Linked DNA regions of Coturnix japonica. The protein of the gene in region 2 purifies or fractionates together with the protein of the main gene of each other region. This does not show direct contact. Links are inferred from orthologs where the notes say so. Each region holds a gene or a part of one and is shown on either strand. Other genes may lie near its edges.

Evidence for each region.
Region 1: the proteins of UBE4B (region 2) and UBL7 purify together in Homo sapiens (affinity purification with mass spectrometry; 3 studies listed by BioGRID and IntAct, counting the BioPlex papers as one, with this or other methods). This does not show direct contact. The link is inferred for Coturnix japonica from reciprocal best matches to the Homo sapiens genes UBE4B and UBL7.

Annotation. Positions count from the first base shown.
Region 1 is NC_029525.1:1,828,979-1,839,021, forward strand, and holds UBL7 (ubiquitin-like protein 7), read left to right. Parts: upstream 1-3,932; 5' UTR 3,933-4,008; coding exon 4,009-4,192; intron 4,193-4,493; coding exon 4,494-4,613; intron 4,614-5,275; coding exon 5,276-5,358; intron 5,359-5,478; coding exon 5,479-5,563; intron 5,564-6,005; coding exon 6,006-6,063; intron 6,064-6,570; coding exon 6,571-6,704; intron 6,705-7,093; coding exon 7,094-7,143; intron 7,144-7,291; coding exon 7,292-7,459; intron 7,460-7,589; coding exon 7,590-7,712; intron 7,713-8,119; coding exon 8,120-8,257; 3' UTR 8,258-8,673; downstream 8,674-10,043. Other genes in the region: actin, cytoplasmic type 5, read left to right, coding at 1,859-2,989.
Region 2 is NC_029536.1:3,054,678-3,064,549, forward strand, and holds the start of UBE4B (ubiquitin conjugation factor E4 B), read left to right. Parts: upstream 1-4,403; 5' UTR 4,404-4,737; coding exon 4,738-4,761; intron 4,762-8,375; coding exon 8,376-8,562; intron 8,563-9,872. Other genes in the region: RBP7 (retinoid-binding protein 7), read left to right, coding at 939-1,011, 1,296-1,474, 1,737-1,838, 2,198-2,248. UniProt on the Homo sapiens protein: Ubiquitin-protein ligase that probably functions as an E3 ligase in conjunction with specific E1 and E2 ligases. May also function as an E4 ligase mediating the assembly of polyubiquitin chains on substrates ubiquitinated by another E3 ubiquitin ligase.

The DNA.
Region 1 (10,043 bases), on a different chromosome or scaffold from region 2:
TCAGGGCTTCTCCCAGACGCTGTGAGCGATCTCCTTGTGCAAAGTGCTTCTTTGCTCAACTCTTTCATCCCTGTGCTACCCAGCAGCTCGTCACCAGCATGAAAAACCTCCTCTTTTTTTATCTCACTCAATCATACGACAGCTTGCGAGTGCAACAACAGAGAGTGGATTAGCAGTCAGCAGCAACAAGGCATTACCTGGCAGCTGAATGCAACCTCAGGTTTCTCAGGCACAATGCAGCACCTGGCCCAACCCCACGCTCGTCTCCAGCAAAGCCACCAGGCGCATGTTGCAAGAGGAACCATAAAGGGGGGTGCAGCCTCATGGTAACGAGTGAGGCGAGCAAACACAGCTCGGGTGCAGCACGCCCTGGTATGCGGCCGCCCTGAGCGTCCCCGACCTGTGACAGGTTGGAGCAAGATTTATGCAGAAATAAGGGCTCGGAACACTGCACCAACCTCGGGAGCTGGAGGCTGGATGGGGAAACACGCCCTAAGCAAGCAGCTAAGTTACAGGGGGAAACAGGAGGCTTTAAGGCGAGAGGGAGACGCGGATCGGGTGCTATATAATGGGGAGGAAGCCGGGGAGGGCTGCGGCGTGGCAGCACCGCGAGCTTTCACGCCCCATTTGCGGCTATTTACCGACTTCCCGGCGCTCCGCCGGCCGAGGTGGGGGGGTCTGATTATCAGGCCCCGACACGCCGCCCTTTGTAAGGGGGCAATAGGAGCTCTTTAACTCCATCCCCTCCTCAGAGCGTCCCAACCAACCTCTACCAACAAAGCTGGGGCGGCACAACGAGCCCCGGGCACCTCAAAGCCCGGATCCCAACCCCTCAAAGCACCGATTGGGGCCGGGACGGAGCGGCCCACAGCCCCTATTCCCCCCCACAGCCCCTATTCCCCCCCACAGCCCCCTCTGCCCCCCCACAGCCCCTACTCCCCCCCACAGCCCCTGCTCCCCCCCCCACAGCCCTTCACACCACAACGGCCGCTGCCCTCCACCCCCGTACCCCCATTACCGGCCTCAGAACGGCCCTAACCGCCCCCCTCCCAGCTCAGAGCCTCCTGGCGAGGCTCGGTGCCCGTTACCTGCGGCAGGCCCCTGGTATCTGTGCGGTGATTGCCGGCCCGCTGTGCTGGCTCTGCCCGCAGCTCAGCCCGCAGCTCGGCCGCTGCCCGCCCCGGGCCGCCCCGCCTCAGCCCGGCCGGAAACGGCGCGAGGGGGGGGCGGGGCCAAGTACCGGAAGTAACGCCTCACTTCCGGGTACGGGCCCAGAGACAGAAAGGAAGGGCGAAGCCGGAAGTGGAGAGAAAGAGGCGGGAGGGAAAGGAGATAACGTTAGCCAATTGGAATGGAGAATTGGGAATTCACTTCCGGTTCCGGGGATATAAAAGAGGGAGCGCGGGGTGGGGCCGAGCATTCGCGGGTGAGACAGCATTGGGTGGGGTCGTGGTACAGGTGAGAGCTGAGGTGATGCCGGGCCTTTGCGTTGTGATTTGTGTTATAGCTGCTTTCTTTGTGCCTTTTACCTTTGGAAGTGTGGGGGAGGATGCTCCGTGCGGGGGTCGTCCTTTGTTCCCTTGGGTGTGGGAGGGAGGGGCTGCCTAACATCACTGAGGGGAGGGAGGAGGCCTTGGCGGGCCTGTGGCTCTTGGCATCCCTTTAGTGGAGGCCAAATAGCTGCTATGGCCATAGACCGTGCCCTTCTATCCCTATAGGGGCACGTTTCCTAGTCATCTCAGGGACGGTGCATTATCTCTTTATGTATTTCTAGTGCACGGTGTTGGATATCTGTCCCCTTGATGGCTTGTTTCTTAGTGTGATCACCTCTTTGTCCTCTTTCACCCCAGGCCTAATCATGGCAGATGAGGAAATTGCTGCCCTGGTGGTGGACAATGGCTCTGGTATGTGCAAGGCAGGCTTTGCAGGGGATGATGCTCCCCGGGCTGTGTTCCCTTCCATCGTGGGACGCCCCCGGCATCAGGGTGTCATGGTTGGGATGGGGCAGAAGGACAGTTATGTGGGGGATGAAGCCCAGAGCAAGAGGGGTATTCTCACCCTGAAGTACCCTATTGAGCACGGCATCGTCACCAACTGGGATGACATGGAGAAGATCTGGCACCACACCTTCTACAATGAGTTGCGTGTTGCTCCGGAGGAGCACCCCGTCCTGCTCACTGAGGCCCCGCTGAACCCTAAAGCCAACCGGGAGAAGATGACCCAGATCATGTTTGAGACCTTCAACACTCCAGCTATGTACGTGGCCATCCAGGCTGTGTTGTCTCTTTATGCCTCCGGTCGCACCACTGGCATTGTCATGGACTCTGGGGATGGTGTCACCCACACGGTGCCCATCTATGAGGGTTATGCTCTGCCCCATGCCATCCTGCGTCTGGACTTGGCCGGCCGTGACCTGACTGATTACCTCATGAAGATCCTGACAGAGAGAGGCTATAGCTTCACCACCACGGCTGAGAGGGAGATCGTCCGTGATATCAAGGAGAAGCTGTGCTATGTGGCTCTAGACTTTGAAAATGAGATGGCAACTGCTGCCTCCTCCTCCTCTCTGGAAAAAAGCTATGAGCTTCCTGATGGCCAGGTCATCACCATTGGAAATGAACGTTTCCGCTGCCCAGAGACTCTCTTCCAGCCATCCTTCTTAGGCATGGAGTCGTGCGGCATCCACGAGACCACCTTCAACTCCATCATGAAGTGCGACGTGGACATCAGGAAGGACCTGTATGCCAACAACGTCATGTCTGGGGGTACCACCATGTACCCAGGTATTGCTGACAGGATGCAAAAGGAGATCACAGCCTTAGCACCCAGCACCATGAAGATCAAGATCATCGCCCCACCGGAGCGCAAGTATTCAGTCTGGATCGGCGGCTCCATCCTGGCCTCCCTCTCCACCTTCCAGCAGATGTGGATCAGCAAGCAGGAATATGATGAGTCTGGCCCCTCCATCGTCCATCGCAAGTGCTTCTAGAGGGGCTGCTGGCAGTCACCCGGGGTGCCCCCACAATGGGGCAGGCGTGGGAGGAGGTGTTGCAGGCTTGTCCTTGGGAGCTCTCCCTTCAGCTTGGACCAGTATTGTTTGACTGTTACTTATGTTACGTTCTAATTTGTTGAGGTACTGAGTAGTAACATACAGTGTGCATTTAAATGGCCTTGCTCCAGTTCGGACCAGTTCATGACTAGAGAGAAACAGCAGCTGTGGTTCTGGGGCAGCAAGTAGATAAGGAGTTGTTCACGTTCCCTATGTTAACACTAACAGGATGCCACTAAAGTAGGTCCGTCACCTTTAGGTTTGTCACATCTGACTTGTTTGTAGGAAAGCAAATAAACTTAGGCTGAAAAGTATCCAGAGTCTTTTGCTTTCTTTCAGGGTGGGTGTGAGGGCTTAGACCCAGTGCTGGACTTGAGCTGTTTGCAGCAAACACAGTGACCCAATGCAAAGCTTGCAGTGTGAACCGGCTGCACGCAGACCATTTTAAGAGCTATTAAGGGTAAAACCTTGGCTGGTATGCAGCCCTTGCAGCCCTTCTGGACTTTCATGGTAACTTGGCTTTATTTAGAACCAATTCCTGTTGGAAAAGAGCGCTGGCACAGGTTTTGTGATGAGAGGAGCCTCTCCTTATTTGGGAGGGTGACAAGATGTGGCAGTAAGTGCCCAGAGCTGCTCAGCCTAAGGAATGGGGTCCCTCTTGCTGTAGCAAGCCGGCACCCAACACTCTCTTCACCCCCCCCCCCCTCCCCACGCCCCCATAGGAGGCAAGTGAGCCAGCGCTGCCGCCCTCCCCCTTTTAAACCCTCAGCCGGCCGCTCATTGGCTCGTTGTGCCACCTCGTCGGCAAGCCGGCCAATCGGTGGCGTCCTCTTCCCACACCAAGCAGACTACATTTCCCAATGCGCACCGCGCTTGAGGACTCACTTCCGTTTCCGGCGTGATGCAGGAAGAGAGACGCTTAATGGCGGCCTAGGCGGGTGGGTTGTGTGTGTTCGGAGATGGCCGTGTCCGAGTGGCACATCGCGGTGAAGCTGGCGGACCAGCCCTTGGCCCCCAAATCCATCTTACGGTTACCTGAGACCGAGCTCGGGGAGTGCCCGCTGGGGGGGTGCAGCATCTCCCACCTCAAGCAGCTGATCACCGGGAAACTGCAAGAGTCCGTCCCGGACCCCGAGCTCATCGGTAGGTGCGAAGGCTGCGGCCTAGTCCGGCCTATCTATTAGTGCTGCGGCCTGGTCAGGCCTCCTATTAGTGCTGCGGCCTAGTGCGGCCTCCCTGTTAGTGCTGCGGCCTAGTCCGGCCTCACTTAGTGCTGCGGCCTAGAGAGGGAGGGAGCAAGATGAAGGGAGGGAGCAAGATGAAGCTTTATGGCTCTTTGCATTGTGGTTTTCGTGTGTTGTGTTAAGCTGTGTGCATGCAGAGCAATGTCTTAAGGAGCACGGGCTCTTTCTGAGTGTGCTGTATGTGTTTGTTTTCTTTATAGATCTGATCTACTGTGGCCGTAAGCTGAGGGATGACCAGACGCTTGATTTCTATGGCATCCAATCTGGTTCCACCGTTCACGTCCTGCGCAAGTCCTGGCCTGAGCCTGATCAGAAACCAGGTGAGGAGGAGATGGTGCAGATTGCATTGAGCATGAGGAGCTGCTGCTCTGTTTCTAGGAGCACAGCATGAGGTTTGGAGGTGGAACTGATCTGCTTGTTTGCACTCAAAGCAGTTAATGGGCATTACTCTTATCTTGCTGATGTATGGAATGAAAAGACATTAAAGATCATCAAGTCCAGCTGCAAGCTGAACATCCCTTCTTTAAGTAGCTCTGATCAATCTTAGTGTTGCTAGAGAATCAGAATCCAAGTGTCTCATTAGTAGAGCCTTATGTGTGTCGGGCTATAGAGTCTTAGTGTTGCTAGAGAATCAGAATCCAACCATCTCATTAATAGAGCCTTATGTGTGTCAGGCTATAGAGTAAAAATGACCAGTTTTAGAATTATTTCAGTGTATTTCCTTTTATGTGTGTAGGAGTATATGCTCTTCTATGTCTGGAAGTTAGGAATGTGGCCATAGCCCTTGGTGGGCAGTTGCTTGTTAAGCTGGAGTAACAGCACTGGGACAGTTGTGATCTGTATCCTTCCTTCCAATTGAATTCAGGAGGACTAAAGAATCATTGTTGCTACTGCAGCTGGGAGGTACAAGGAGGGTGTAAAATGGCTTGTGAAGCTGACAGAGGGAGGAGCATGTTTTGATCTGTTCTTTTTCTTTCCTCAGAGCCAGTAGACAAAGTGGCAGCGATACGGGAGTTCCGTGTCCTTCACACAGCCCTACACAGCAGTCCTGCTTACAGAGATGCGGTGAGTGGGACTTTGTACATCACCACCTTGGTGTCTTTTATCTGACCCCCTCTCTAAGGAAAGACCCTCACTGAAACCTTGCCGTGTGACACTGCTGATTGATTCTGATTTCTCTTGCAGGTGTTCAAAATGCTGGGGAACAAGGAGTCATTGGATCAGATCATTGTTGCTACTCCTGGCCTTAGCAGTGACCCAGTTGCTTTGGGTGAGTCCAGGTGTTACTCAGAGGGCCTGGAGAAAGCCAGATGAGGATGGCTTTAAAATAAAGCAAATACAAGATAAGTTAAACACTGAATCCTTTCTGAAAGTGTTTAGTTTCTCATGTGGGGTGTGATCTCAATCTCATGCAGCCATCTGGGGTGAGCTGGGTGCCAGACTCGATCCTGCCTTAAAGTAGAGGCTGCCTGCACTGAAACACAGCCTGTGGGATCTGCTGGGGAAGCCCTGTGTCTGGTGGGTGTGGCTGTGATTTAGTCTGTCTAAGAAGGCACAAAAGGTTTCTGAGAACAATAATAGAGTATTTCTGGTGTCTTTTCATGACTCGTTTCCTGAAAAACAACTAATTTGCTTTTTTTCCCATGGTTGGACTGGCTCCTATATGTCTCGTATCCTGTCTCTTATTGGTCATGTTTCCTGGTCTCTCCCAGGCGTCCTGCAGGACAAGGATCTCTTCTCAGTGTTTGCAGACCCCAACATGTTGGACACGTAAGTTCATATAAGCTGGCACGGTGACTAAGCAGCTCCTTTGTTGTAATCCTGTATTGGTCACTTCCCTCTGGGTGGGAAAAAGCATTCTGCTGCTGTCTGCCAGTACAGTTACACCAGGACAGAGATCTGAGGAGGGTCTAATCTTCCTTAGCATTAGATGCTTCAACATAGTATCTGTATAACATGTATCTGTTGACATAGTGGAAGCAGGCTCATTCTCTCCTCCAGATCTGGTAGCTCACAGCAGAGAGTTGCTCCATGAGAGCATGTGGGAGATGTGTACAATGGGAGGGCCAGCATGGGATCAAGATGGATCCCTGACTTGTCTGGCTCTGTGGGGAGGTGTTTGTTGTTGGATAGCTAAAGGTAATATCAGATCGAGATGGTGTTGGCTCAACTAGTGAGAGTGGTTCTGCCATTCTTGCTGTAAGTTCACTAGCATCAAGCCATTCCTTCCTTAGTTTCTCTGTATACACAATTTGTTCTTCCACCCTGTCTCTCCAGGTTAATACCGGCTCACCCTGCACTTGTGAATGCCATTGTCCTTGTCCTGCACTCGGTGGCAGGCAGCACCCCACTCCCAGCCCCAGAGACATCCTCCCGTGGCATGTCCTCTGGCTCCTACCGTGACATGCCGGGTACGTTCAGCCTGTGGCCATGCAGATGTGAGAGGGAGCTGCAGAGATGATGTGCTGCAGGATCTGTTACAGGCAAATCAGTATTTTACTGGTGCAGGGATGAAATAGAAAAGTGGTCTGGGCACCTGAGCTTGTGGTTTGACAGAATACACTGAGAGAGGCTTATCTGGTGTAGTTCAACCTCAGGGCCTCTCTGAGCTGTGTGTGTACCACCACTGTTGGTAGCAAATAGATGTGGCCTCTGTTTTGCACAAGTGATGGGCCTGAGCTGTCTTGTGTTGACCTGTTGCAAGTGAACTTGTTAGTGCTGAGCTCGGCTGTGCGAGCAAAGCCTCCACTGGATTCTCATCTGGTGTTCTGCATCTTGTTGAATCATCTCTCTATCACAGGTGGCTTTCTGTTTGAAGGTCTCTCTGATGATGAAGATGACTTTCACCAGGTAATTCACAGGCTGGATTGGGTGGAACAACTATTTTGGATTTGTGGTAATGGTTTTAACTTTGTAGCTCTTAAAGTCTCTAAAGCACATGAGCCACATGGTAATGGGACGTGTCCACTGACAGCAGATGCCTGTTTTCTCCATGCAGAGCACAAGGTCAACACCATCCAGCAGCACTTCTGGTTCTCGCCCAGCTTCCCTTGGTTACTCTGGGGCTGCTGGACCACGACCAATTACCCAGAGTGAGCTGGCAACTGCATTGGCACTGGCCAGCACACCAGAGAGCAGCTCCCACACACCAACTCCTGGTACCCAGGTACAGCACCAGCTGGGGCTGTCCTCCTGCCCTGTAAAGCCAGCACTTGACTGAGTGCAAGCCCTGTGTGGATCTGGGTTCCTGCAGCAAGTGCTCTTCTGAGTTGTATACAACTTGTCTCTCTCACTAGGGTCACTCCTCTGGGACCTCCCCTATGTCATCCAGTGTCCAGTCAGGAACACCCATCACCAACGACCTCTTCAGCCAGGCCTTGCAGCATGCCCTGCAGGCCTCAGGGCAGCCCAGTCTGCAGGTCAGTATCTAGGCCTCCTCTTCTTTTGGGAACCTGTGAGAAAGCTCCTTATCACACTCAGCACTGCAGGGTAGAGGTGGCTCTTCCAGCTATCTCCTGTGGCTGGACTTTAGGTTGGAAGGAGTGTGACTGGTGAAGAGCTTTTTTAGGTGGCATGATAGATGTGTGCAGAAGGACTGGATGGAGGTGGGAGAGAGGGAAATGGGAGAGGTGTGCTGGTGGGTTTAGGGTGTTACCAACAGGACTTAAAACTTTCAAGACCTGTTTGCACACTTGGAATTGTGCTTGTGATCTAGAGAGATGGGAGTAACCAGCATGGTGGAGTGGGCTTTGGAGAAGGCTGTTTTTTTTTTTTACTGCTTGGACTCTTGCACTTACCCTTAGCTTCTTTTGTTTCCTGTTTGTAGAGCCAGTGGCAGCCACAGCTTCAGCAGCTACGAGACATGGGTATACATGATGATGAACTAAGTCTCCGGGCCCTGCAAGCTACTGGAGGGGACATTCAGGCTGCCTTAGAGCTTATCTTTGCTGGTGGGGCTCCGTAGCTCTGGGCAGGAGGGGCTGGACCACCATGTGGCACTGCTATTCCTTGGTCTGGGACTCAACCCCAAAGCTCTCTAGGGAATGGAGCAGCTGAAGTGGCTGCTTCTATCCGTGCAGGTGGGTTGTGGGCTCCTGTTTGAGAGCACGGGGCAATCTGAGGACAGTTCCTCCAGCTCCTGTGATCTCTCTCCAGCCTTCTCCTCATTCTGACCACCATTATTGAGACCTCAAAGCCTTGATCAGCACGGATTAAAACGCAACTGTGTGTGCTGGGAAGATGTAGCACGGTTCTGCAGTTAGATCTGGTGACCTGCTGTACTATCGCCTGCTGTTTCATTCCTGCCCACCTGGCACGTCTCCTTTTGCTGTTGTGGTCTCTCCCTGTGTTTGACTGTATTAAATGGACTGTATCCACTTGCCTGTTGTTTGTGATCTGTGCTGTCTTAGATTCCACATCTTCAAGGCAGCACGTGTTTGTTGCATCGCAGCTGGACGTGGTCTGCCTGTTATAGGACTGTTATTTCAGCAGAGGGCACTCCTCTTGCAGAACAAGCTGCTGGCTATGGCCATGAGCTGCCCGAAGACCACTGTGTTGGGATTGAAGCTGATCTTCCCAGTCTTCCTCCTTTAATTAGGCCTGTAAAGAACTCATTGTGCTGTGGATGCTTGCTGAGAAGGTGGCCCAAAGAGCATCTCGTCTCCTTTTCAGCAGCAATGTTTCTATATTCTACTGGGCAAAGCTTTTTGCAGTGCTGCAGGAACAAAGGTGCAGGAGTTCACGGCCACCACAAGGTGACAGTAGAAATGTAACAGGGTCGAGGCAGGTGCTGAAGATTGCAGGGTACTGCTAATGACTGAATGGGAGAGGCACATTGTTCTGAGCTGGTTTGTTGGGTTGTAGTGAATATTTTCCAATGTATCTTCTAGTTCTGGGTGTCACGTGTGAAGTTCTCAGGAGCTGCCTACAAAGGCAATCAAATGCTTGTAATTATTTGGTGGAAGCTGAGATGAATTGGAGCCAGAGGTAGAGCTGGCGTCGCTCTGAATGTACCATCAAGACTGACAGAGCATGAAAATAGGAGCTGGTTCGTCTGAAATGCCACCATGTGACACTAGGGAAGCTCAGAGCAGAAAATGGTCCCTTACCTTCAGGCTACCTGCGTTCCCCTCTAATTCCTTTCAAAGCACAACTGGTGTCTGCTGATACGATCTCAGCAATGGCACAGCAAATGCTGGATTGTTCTGTCCAGGATGGCTTATTGACTGCTAGAGTTTAATCCTGTCTGGAGGATTAAAGCTCCCAGGAGGGGAAGAGACTGCTTTTATTTTTCAGTATGCAGTGGATAAGATCTGATGAGTATCAGAAATCTCGTGACTTTCTTAACTTGATACACCCTTCCTGGTTACTTTCCTCATTACCTGCTTTGGAAACCTATTCCAGATGATGACTGTCATTTGACACATACAGAAACCGATGACTTTATTCCCATCCCTGCTGCCTCCATTCCTTGCTTTGCTAGGGATGGGTCACATATGTAGAGCACCCTCCCTCCCTTTTCTGCCCTGCTGTCAGCCCTCAATCCTCCCAGGGCTAACTGAGGATTAGCTGTATCGCAGATGTCGTGGCGATGCTGAAGTTGGGAGCCATAAAGCTCCCCCAGACCTGCATGGGGCTGGCAGGGCTTGCTTTGGGTCTGCTTGCTTGTCTGCGCCCTGTCAAGTCTCAGCTCAGACTGGGAACAGCTTGGGGGTATGGGTGTCCCCAGATGGTCTTTCTTTTGTCTTCCC
Region 2 (9,872 bases):
TGTCCTATAACTACATGCTCTTGTAAAAAGTCTCTCACAGGCTCCCTTCTCAGTTCTGGAAGGATGCTATATCACCTCCTCAGATCCTTTTCTCCAGGGTGAACAAATTCAACTCTCCTCTAGAAGGCACAGATAAAGCTGTAGAACTGTGAACAAACCTCAGGCCCCTAGATCTGTCACTTCAGGCTCAGCTGTTACATAAACTTTCTGGCTGGTAAAATATCTGAGAAAACAGAATTTTGCATTCACTCTGCATATTGCCCATGAGTCTGGGTCTTGGTTCAGCTAGGACATAAGTAACAGAGGTAAAGGAGTCAGAACACCAACAGCCAAACCATGGCACAGCAGGGCTGTGTTGAGGGTCACATCAGAGAATAATGTGCAAATAAGATTTGCCGTTCACTTTCCTGTTATACCCGCTAGATAATAATGCTGCTTACTATTCACTACAGACACAAATGATGAGATATATTGCTTACTACCATTACTCTGAATTACAGCTTTAAGACTTACTGATACCACTTCATGGGCAGATCTCCTTTTCAAAAAATATCTACATTTCAAATCACAAACCCTCAGAGTGAATATACACACATGGAATCTTAGGAATGACAAATCATGTCCATGATACATTTTAAAAGACACAAGATAGAAACCTTTTAAACCAGTTTCTGGTTTGTGCTGTGACTCTTGAGTTAATAACATTTGCTCCATACAAAGATTTCGGAAACCGTGAACTTTTCCCTCTAACCCAGCCAAAGCTCATCTACAAATATTCTCTTTCCTATTGGCTCAGCAGCAGCACCCCTCCCCTCCACCATCAATGCTCTCAGACATGATCCCACCCACAGTCCCTCATATAAGGCCTGGTTGGAAATCTGTTTCTTAATTTCTGCTTTTTGGCCAGGGGTTGACTGTATCTCCTTCCCACAGTAGCAATGCCTGTGGATTTCAGTGGAACCTGGAACCTTGTCAGTAATGACAACTTTGAAGGCTACATGACAGCTTTAGGTAGGTGAAAAGACCTAATCCTATTCTCTCTTCCCCTTTGAGAGGCCTCCTACATTTTAATTCTTCTAAAACCTAGATACTGGGGTCTGGGAGGAGACCAAATGTTCAAGAACATGCCTAAACTGTGTAATATGTAACACCTCTGGGGGAGTGGAAATCCAAAACAAGAACAGCAAAACCAAATTTATATAGCAGAAATACTTCTGGAAGCAATACAGGTAAAGCCCAGCTGTCAGAACAGCCAGTGAGCAGCACGACTCAGTGTTTTCTTTCTTTTGTCAAAGGTATTGACTTTGCAACACGTAAGATAGCAAAAATGCTGAAGCCTCAGAAAGTGATCAAACAGGATGGTGATTCCTTTTCCATCCATACCACGAGCACGTTCAGAGACTACATGCTCCAATTTAAAATCGGTGAAGAGTTTGAAGAAGACAATAAAGGCCTGGATAACAGAAAATGCAAGGTAAGACTGAATAATTCAGAAATCAATGTGTTCTTACAGAAGGAAGATGCTGTAGTGAGCCTTGCTGAGCTGAAATTGATTCAGTAATACTATTTTTAACACAGTATAGGTGCAAGAGCCTGAGTTAGTGATTAAATTTTCACATTCCCTCAGCAACAGTATTTAATTTAGTTACATTTTATTAAGGAAGAAAGGATACTGCCTGCTAGATAGATTTCAGAACTGAGGTGACATGAACAAACACTTGGTTTCTTTTTAACAGAGCCTGGTTACCTGGGACAATGACAAACTTATCTGTGTCCAGGCTGGGGAGAAGAAGAACAGGGGCTGGACTCACTGGCTTGAAGGAGATGACCTCCATTTGGTATTTGATTTACTTCTGAATTGTCTCTGGGTGACAAAGAAAATGCAACTTATATTGTAGTCATAATGTGCAAGTTGTCTTCCACCTCAAGAGTACATGTAATAGAACATAAGGAACACGTTTTGCTTTCAGCTGCATCACAGAATTGCAGGGGTTGGAAGAGACCTCTAGAGATCATCAAGTCCAACCCTTGGCATAATTTCACTGTTCCATCCTTATTCATCTTGCACAGCCAAATGCAGAATGTTATGCATAACTTAGCACAGCAGCTCAGGGATGGTCGGTGGTCATGGCAGAAGATCTGTCTTCTCTTTTGGAGATGGTTCCTTTGGTTACTTTTCTGTTTGTTTGTTTTGTAGGAGCTTCGTTGTGAGAATCAAGTATGTAAGCAAGTGTTCAAGAGAGCTTAAATATCAGCATTGGTTCCAACACGGAAAGACAGCTCTATACAGGAGGCCATGTGATAACTGGAAACGCAAAACCTGACTTCTTTCTACCTAAATGGCTGATGTTTCTGGCTCAGGAAATATTATTTGTTGTTAGCAGTGTTAAAGACCCGATTTTTGCTAATAAACACAACAAACCATCTTAAATACCTGTCTTATGAATGAGTTTTGGAGGGGGGAAAAATCCCAAATCATAAGCAATAAGATGCTCTGTAATTAACTAGTCACCCAGATCACAGCAAGGACCATTTCCCCTTCCCTAAGGGTATAGCAAGATCAAACAAAACAGGAAGGACAGCTTAAACCTGTGTGACTCCAGGAATGGTAAAGTTAAGATTACAACCAAGGATGTAACTTTACTATTTCAGTAAATAGTAAAATGTCAGTATGTGAAATAATTGGATGCTATCAGCACATACAAAGAATAAAAATAATGCTGCTAAGATTTATTTGTATGTATTTGTTCCATTTGCTAACATACTTTTCTGTGCAACATCCACAAGGTCAGCAATGAGAAATAGGTTATATTCTACCTCATGTAAACAAGCAGCCAGACCAACCTGTTATATGTGTGAAATAAGCTGCTACATCTCCTGGGTAACACTAACAGCACTATTGCTAGAGTTTAATCCAAATTACTGAGCTTCAGCTAGATTTAATTAGCATTTTCTTCTTCACAGAAACTCAACTTATCCTTGATGCTCTCACAGATAAATAATATAACTCATTATTTAGGTAACTCTTCTTCGCTGTCAGCTCTGTTAAAGCTGGGAGAGCTTTTAATTAGATCAGTATCCCAGGGGACTCTAAAAGTAAGGTGGCTGGCTTCCAAAACATGAAATCCCAGTGCACCTTAGGGTCAGGGTGGGGACATTTGAAGGACCAGGAGTAAAACATGGAATTCATTTTCTGAATTCCAGTGGTGAATTCACTTTGGAACCGAGTGCTGCTTTTATTTGGTTGGAAACGAGATTTATGATACCATAGAACTCTAATACAAATAACACGGAGAGCAAACATTCTCTGTCACCTCTACCAGCACACTTCTGCAGTCACAGACTTTGCTACTCCATTAGATGGCACCACTGCAACAAAATGCATTCTTATTTAAACTGTAGTGATACTCAACAGCAGCACCTCCAGTGTTAAATACTGCAGATGTGTTCAAGTCACACAGCTTAAAAGAAAGGAAAGGAAAAGGAAAAAGAAGGAAAAGAAAAAAAGAAGGAAAAGAAAGGACTTTCTTTGCTAAGAAAGTGAACCAGAACCCCCTGACAGCTCCAGAACCCAAGGACAGGAACAGAACTCACCAGGAAGCCATTGGAATGGTGTTATTCTAATGTGTTTCTGCTCCATTATCTCACCACAGCTCGGATGGTGAAACCCTTCCAGCAACCTTTCGTTGTTTATCAGGCAGTGCCAGTGCTGAGGATGGGACTTTAAGATGTGTTGTCTGCACAGAGCAGTGTGTGGGTGGGTGAAAGGCTGTGTGCCCCTTTGGGACCTTACAGCCACAACAGACGGTGGGAATTCAAAAGAATCTCAGCTATTCTTTTGAATTCACATTCTATAGGACACGATTAAATACATGAGGAAGAAGAGTCACACAGGTGATAGATACATGGAGGTGTGAGGAGCAAGATCACAGACACCATGAGGGCTGCTGAGCTTTACTCAGAAGTGTCCACCTAAACATTAACTTAGAAGTTAACTTATTAAGTCTTATTAGAAGACATTTGTGAGTAGTTCCCTCATGATCCCCCACCTGTATTTCACAGCAGCGGGCACCCGTGAGAAAAGGAAAAGAATATTTTACACAAGAGCATCACTTCGAGGCATAACAAAAGCACACGATGCAGAAAAAGCTTGTGTTGTCCCACAGAAAGAAATCAAAATACCTCAGGTTCAAAGGACCCGGGCAGGAGTACGGCGGCAGACTCCATCCTCCCAGCTGCGGGCGGGCGGATGGACGGCCATCCCCTCACGGCCATCATCCCCTCAGCTCCTTCCCGCCCTTCATGCCGCCCCGCTCCCAAGGCGCCGCCATCCCCGCCCATCCCTCCGCCTCTCTCCCTTCCCCATTGGCCGCCGCCCCGCTCGGCCCGTCATGCCCGGCTCCCTCCGAGGCCTCATGTGACCCACCCCCAAGATGGCCGCCGCTGCCGCCCTCTTGTTTTGATGAATAATCTCTGCGCGGGGCAACGGGCGGGAGCTGAGGCCGAGGGACGCGGGAGGTTCCTCACAGGGAGCGGAGGGAGCCGAAGAGCGGGTGGGCTGCGGGCTTTGGGCCGGGGGCGGCGGAGCGGTCGGCTGCTGTTGGGCGAGGCGAGGCCGCCCCGGCGATGCCCTTGTGAGGCGCGGAGGCGGCCGGAGAGCGCTCCGAGGAGCTGCCCGTCGGCGGGGCGGAGGAAGGCACCCGCCCTCCGTTCGCGTTCACCATTAAGAGGAAGGCGATGGAGGAGCTGAGCGCGGACGAGGTGAGGCGGAGTGCCGGGGGGAGCGGGGCCCTGCGGTGCTGCCGTCCCGGCTGCTTCGTTTGGAGCGCTCCTTTGTGCTGAGCGCCGGCAATCCGTGCGCCTCATGGGTGTGATCGAATCCTTCTTTTATCCGTAGCGAAACGCTTAAAATATCGCTTTGTCAGAGCTGAGGAGCGAGGTGTGTGTGGGGACCGTGTGCCTGGTGCCGTTTGGTTTCCTCACGGTCACTGGGTTGCAGCCCTTAAGGCCGGGCCTGCTGAGGGAATAGCGCAGCTGCTTCTTATTGCCATGGAGGAGCCGGAGTGTGTCTGTGTGAGGACTCCTGTACACCTCCGCTTTGTTGTTTCTTAATGCTCCACCAGAGCGGAGTTAGGTGGTACAGAAAGCAGCATCCTCACTGGGGTGTTTGTGTCTCACTGGGGTGTTTGTGTCTCACTGAGGTGCTTCTGTGTCATGTTGTGTGTGAGATCTGTCTGAAAACCCCTCACCTGTCAGGTGAGAAAAGTAGCTGCACTTGAAATTAGCTGCCAGGCTCCTGGAGGTGAGGTTGTCTCCTTATACTGAGCTGTATAAAATGTGCAGGTAACAGATTTCATCTTCCAAAGACCAGAGATGAATACAGTTGAATGGTGTTGGGTCTGTAGGTTGTAGGTCAACTTCCCACTGCTTTCTCTGGGTTTACTTTGTTAAAGCACCAAAGGTGCTCTTCATTACAGCCCATACCAAAATCATCAGGGATCTGGGAGAAGCAAAAATCTTTTTTTTGGTGTTTATTTTAGTGTAAGTGCCAGATAACATCATGAGGATTGGGAACTGAATAGGAAATAGCAAAGTCAAGCCAGGTATGGCGTGAAGTGGGACAGAATGAGGTGAATTTGGTGTCTTGTGTATGGCTGTTGAGTAGCTCAAAGTTGTGCTGTCTGCCAATGGACCATGAGCAACATCCCCAGGAAATGAAGCATGCCTTAAGCTTGGTTAACACGTTGTAAGGATACAAATTACAAGCTGCAAAGAATTCCAATTACACTTTATTGGACCGAGGTGGGATTTCTCTCTGACTACAGAAGTAGAAACATTTTCCTTTAGAAGCTGATGAAGCAGTTCCTACTGAAACAGATGTTGGCTGTGGAATTATGTATAAATCTGAGCTGAGGTGTGTGAGCCCAAGGGAGCAGCTCTGCTGTGTGCTTCAGTTATCGGCTGCCTTGAGCAGGCTGCTATTTTTACATTGGATGTGGCAACATGTCCAGCTAACAGCTTTTTGGAAGCCCATTAAGATCACAAATATATTTCTGAATGTTACTACCCCAAGAATGTATCAAGTAAGAACTGTGCTAATTAATAACACGATTCATAACCTTTTCCATTCAACCAATTAGATTCTTAACTCTGTGTTATGGTGGAGGGAAGGTAGCTTATGGAACAAACTGTGCTGATGTAGTAATTGGTACCAAACAACTTCTTGTTGGGCAATGCAATGACACAGCGCTTGTCTTAGGTTGCTGTTGCAAGGAGTGCTGCTGAAATGCAGGGTTAGGCGTTGTGGAGGGTATCTTAAACGCTCCTAATAAAATAATTAATCTACAAAATCCCCACGTGTTACCCCGTGGCGCTGTGGTTAGTCATGCAATCCGAAGTGAAGCCGGGTCGCTTTGACTTTGAACTCCTGCAGCTCTGACACGCTCTTTGTGCTACGTGGAGGCAGCGGGCTGCAGCCCAGCGCTGTGCAAACACTGCGTCCTGCAGGCCCAGCACGAGGCCCATGGCACTGTGCCGTCCCCATTGCACATCCTGGCCCATGCAGTGTCCAGGCACAAGTGGATGAACCAGACAGAAGGAATCCATCAGTTCCATGCTGTCCTTCCATGCTTCTGTTTCAGCTTGTGGCTTTGCCTTTCTAGCATAGCATCGTTGTTTCTTTGCCCCTTTTTCCCCACTTAAGTCTCTTAATTTTCAGATCAAATTTCAAGTTTCCTTGAAAACGTAGAGGATTATGATGACCTGGGGCATCAGAGCAGCCAAACCTGGTTCTTTATCAGTCAGAGAAATGCGTCTCTTTTGGTATACTCTTTTGGTATAATACTCTTTTGATATTGGCGTTGGTTGATGATTTGTCATTCCTAAATGGGTAGTGAAATTCTGGGGTTGGTTTGAATTGCTGAATTTTATCTAAAAGCATCCCAATGTCCAGGAGGTTTCTTTGTTACGTTCCCTTCTTCAGAAACTTCTTCAGGGCAGGTTACGGTCTGGAGCTTTGGTCTGTGTGAAGGGTCAGTGCTTCATGGACTAGAGGTGAAATGAGTGACCTCGTGTTTGAATAACATTGACCACAGCTGGTTGTGCCATAGCTCTGGTGGTGGCATTGCCTGCTGCTGTAGGTGAAGAAGTGTAGAGTGGCACAACCAGCTTATTAACCAACAACTCACTTGTTTGCTTGAAGCTGGGAGGTGATGTAGAGAAGATTTGTGCAAATCAAACCTTGTGAGGCATGTGGCCTCGATTGAATCATCAAGGTCTGACCGTGTTTGAGAATAAGTGTATACATTTCTCGGTTAACATGAAGCTTTGGGTGTATTTGTCTGTGCCTCTCTCTCCTGATACAGTTCCAAATCTGACGTCTGATTTAATTTGATCTGTTCTTCCTCCTCTTGGAGTAGTTTTCACAGACCATTATGTGACTGCAGCGATGTCTCCTAGACATGGACTTGACACAGATTTTTCTTCACTCTTTAACTTCCCCAGCAATTCATCAGGATTGCGAGCAGAAATGCAAACAGGAATTACACCAGTGCTTGGGGATATCAATACCAATAGGGAATAACATGAATAGCTCACTTGTGTCGGGAGCAGACACCCTCAGATGCTTTTACTCCATGCTTGTTTTCTTTGTACCAGAAGCTTTTGTATCAGATTCTCTGAGGCAGCCTGTAATTATGGATAATTCCTTCTGTATTTTCATTTTTTGCTTAAGGTTTCATGGCTCTCAAATACAAGTTTTGTGAGCTTTATCTTTTATCAGCATCATGTGGTCATGAACAAGCTTTGATAAATATGTTCATAATAGTTTTCCAAGGGCAAATACTGCTCTGCCCTACTAGTAATGTGAAAACTGACCAAACTCCATTTGGTCAGACTGCTCCAGGTAATGGCAGGTTGCTATTGGCTGTCTTCATTTGCCTCTCAAGATGCTCCTGCCCAGCAGGTGACAAGTAGGGTAGATTTCTAGTGTTGCAGAACTGTCTCAGATAGTATTGCATACAGTCTTCTCTTAACAATATTCAATTGGATCATCTTAAGCAGAATTTTGTTATTAGGGGTTGTGTGGTGTGAGATGAAGGTAAAGGTCGTGTTCCTTTTAGCCCTTTTATCAGATTAACACAGTTTGTTTAATCAAATGCCAAAAGAAATCAGGAGGTGTGTTAGAGGTTTTGAAACTGCTGAGCAGTAAATATTAAACCGGTCTTACACAACTGTTAGAGGGATGGACGCAGAATTCTCCAGTGCCATTTAGGGAATACTGTGCCATTTAGGAGACCCAGGGATGGAAAACTATGGAGTATGTTTGAATGTATGTGCAAATCAGTTTTTCTGTTTGTTTGATGTCCTTTGTGCAGATCCGTCGAAGGCGCCTTGCCCGGCTGGCAGGGGGACCATCGTCCCAGCCCAGCACACCACTCACATCGCCGCAGAGAGAGACCCCACCTGGGCCACCTGCAGCAGCTCCAACCCCTGGGCCATCCCATAGTCTCGGCCTAAATGTCCACAGCATGACCCCAGCTACCTCACCAATAGGTGCATCAGGTAGGCTGGCCTTTGGGGCAGCAACGATTATTGCCTGTGTGTCGGGTGTTATTGTGTGACCCCTCACATTCAGAGCATGAATGCTGTTATTGCCTCTATTTCTGCTGTCGTAAAAATGACATTCTGAAAGGAACATTCTGAATTGGTCACTGAAGGTGCTCAAGTCTTCATTTTACCAAATAGAAATGGATTGTTAAAATTCTTCTCTGGGCATCAGTAAAACTAAGGAGAATATTTGAAGTCACCAAAGCTGGTTGAATGTAATGCACTTTTCTATTGGCAAGAAGTACAGTAGGAAAGCCAGCCTCTTCTCCTTGATAAAAAGTGATTTCAGTCTCGCAAGAGAATTTTTATTGATTGACTCCTACGTTCATTTTTGCCATGTTCATTTATGATCTTTAATTACTGGCGTTTGGCACAATTAAAAGTAGTGGGCTGTGACTGTGCATTATCAATGTGAGAATGAAGTGCTGCTCTCTTTGTGTTGCAGTATTTTTGAAAAGATGAAAGTTTTCCCAATTCCAGTATTAACTGCAGTGAGGACAAGTAGGATATTTACAAATAGCAGTTACTTCAGACCATATGAAGCTCCTTGTCTATTAAATTCAAATACAGAAAGTATGCAAGGTTGGGAGGGTGTGAGGTGTCTGGAAGGGGCTGCTTTCTGCGTATTTTGTTGCCTTGTATCCAGAGCAGGCCAGAGAAAAGCTACCAAAAGCATTTCCTGGGCAAATCTGGTACAGTTGGAATTTAACACTGCGTATTGTCGTCGTGATCATAGGCAGCAACCCAGAAGCAAAGATGTCTTTATTTATTTTGCAAATAGTACAGAGTTCACTTACCATGTTCACTCAGCCTGTGGTTACGGAACTATTTTAATCCCTCTTAGGTCTGACTCTTGCTGAAAGGAGCCTTTCTCTCTGCCTCTCCCCCTGATGTCAGTAGCAAATGTGTGGTGAGGACTTAATCCAGGTGGACACTAACCCGCAAAAAATGTTAGTTAGTTTTCAAGCACACACACAATTGTATAAGCGCTAATGCCAACAAAACTGGAGGTGTGGAAGCACGTACCTGAAGGTAGAAATGTTCATGATCTGGCAGACTGGTTTATTCTGGTTAGAAGTTGTTGGACAGTCAAGACCTCAGAGACTTCTGTTGTAAGTGGATTCATCTGTCTGCATTGGACAGTTGCTAATTGCACAGATAAAACTGTGATCACAAGAAACAGAAGGTATCCAGGCAGTGGATTGCTTGTTTCCTGTAGTGCCAGTCATTGCAGCAATTCAGTAATGTGTATTTCTTTGCACATC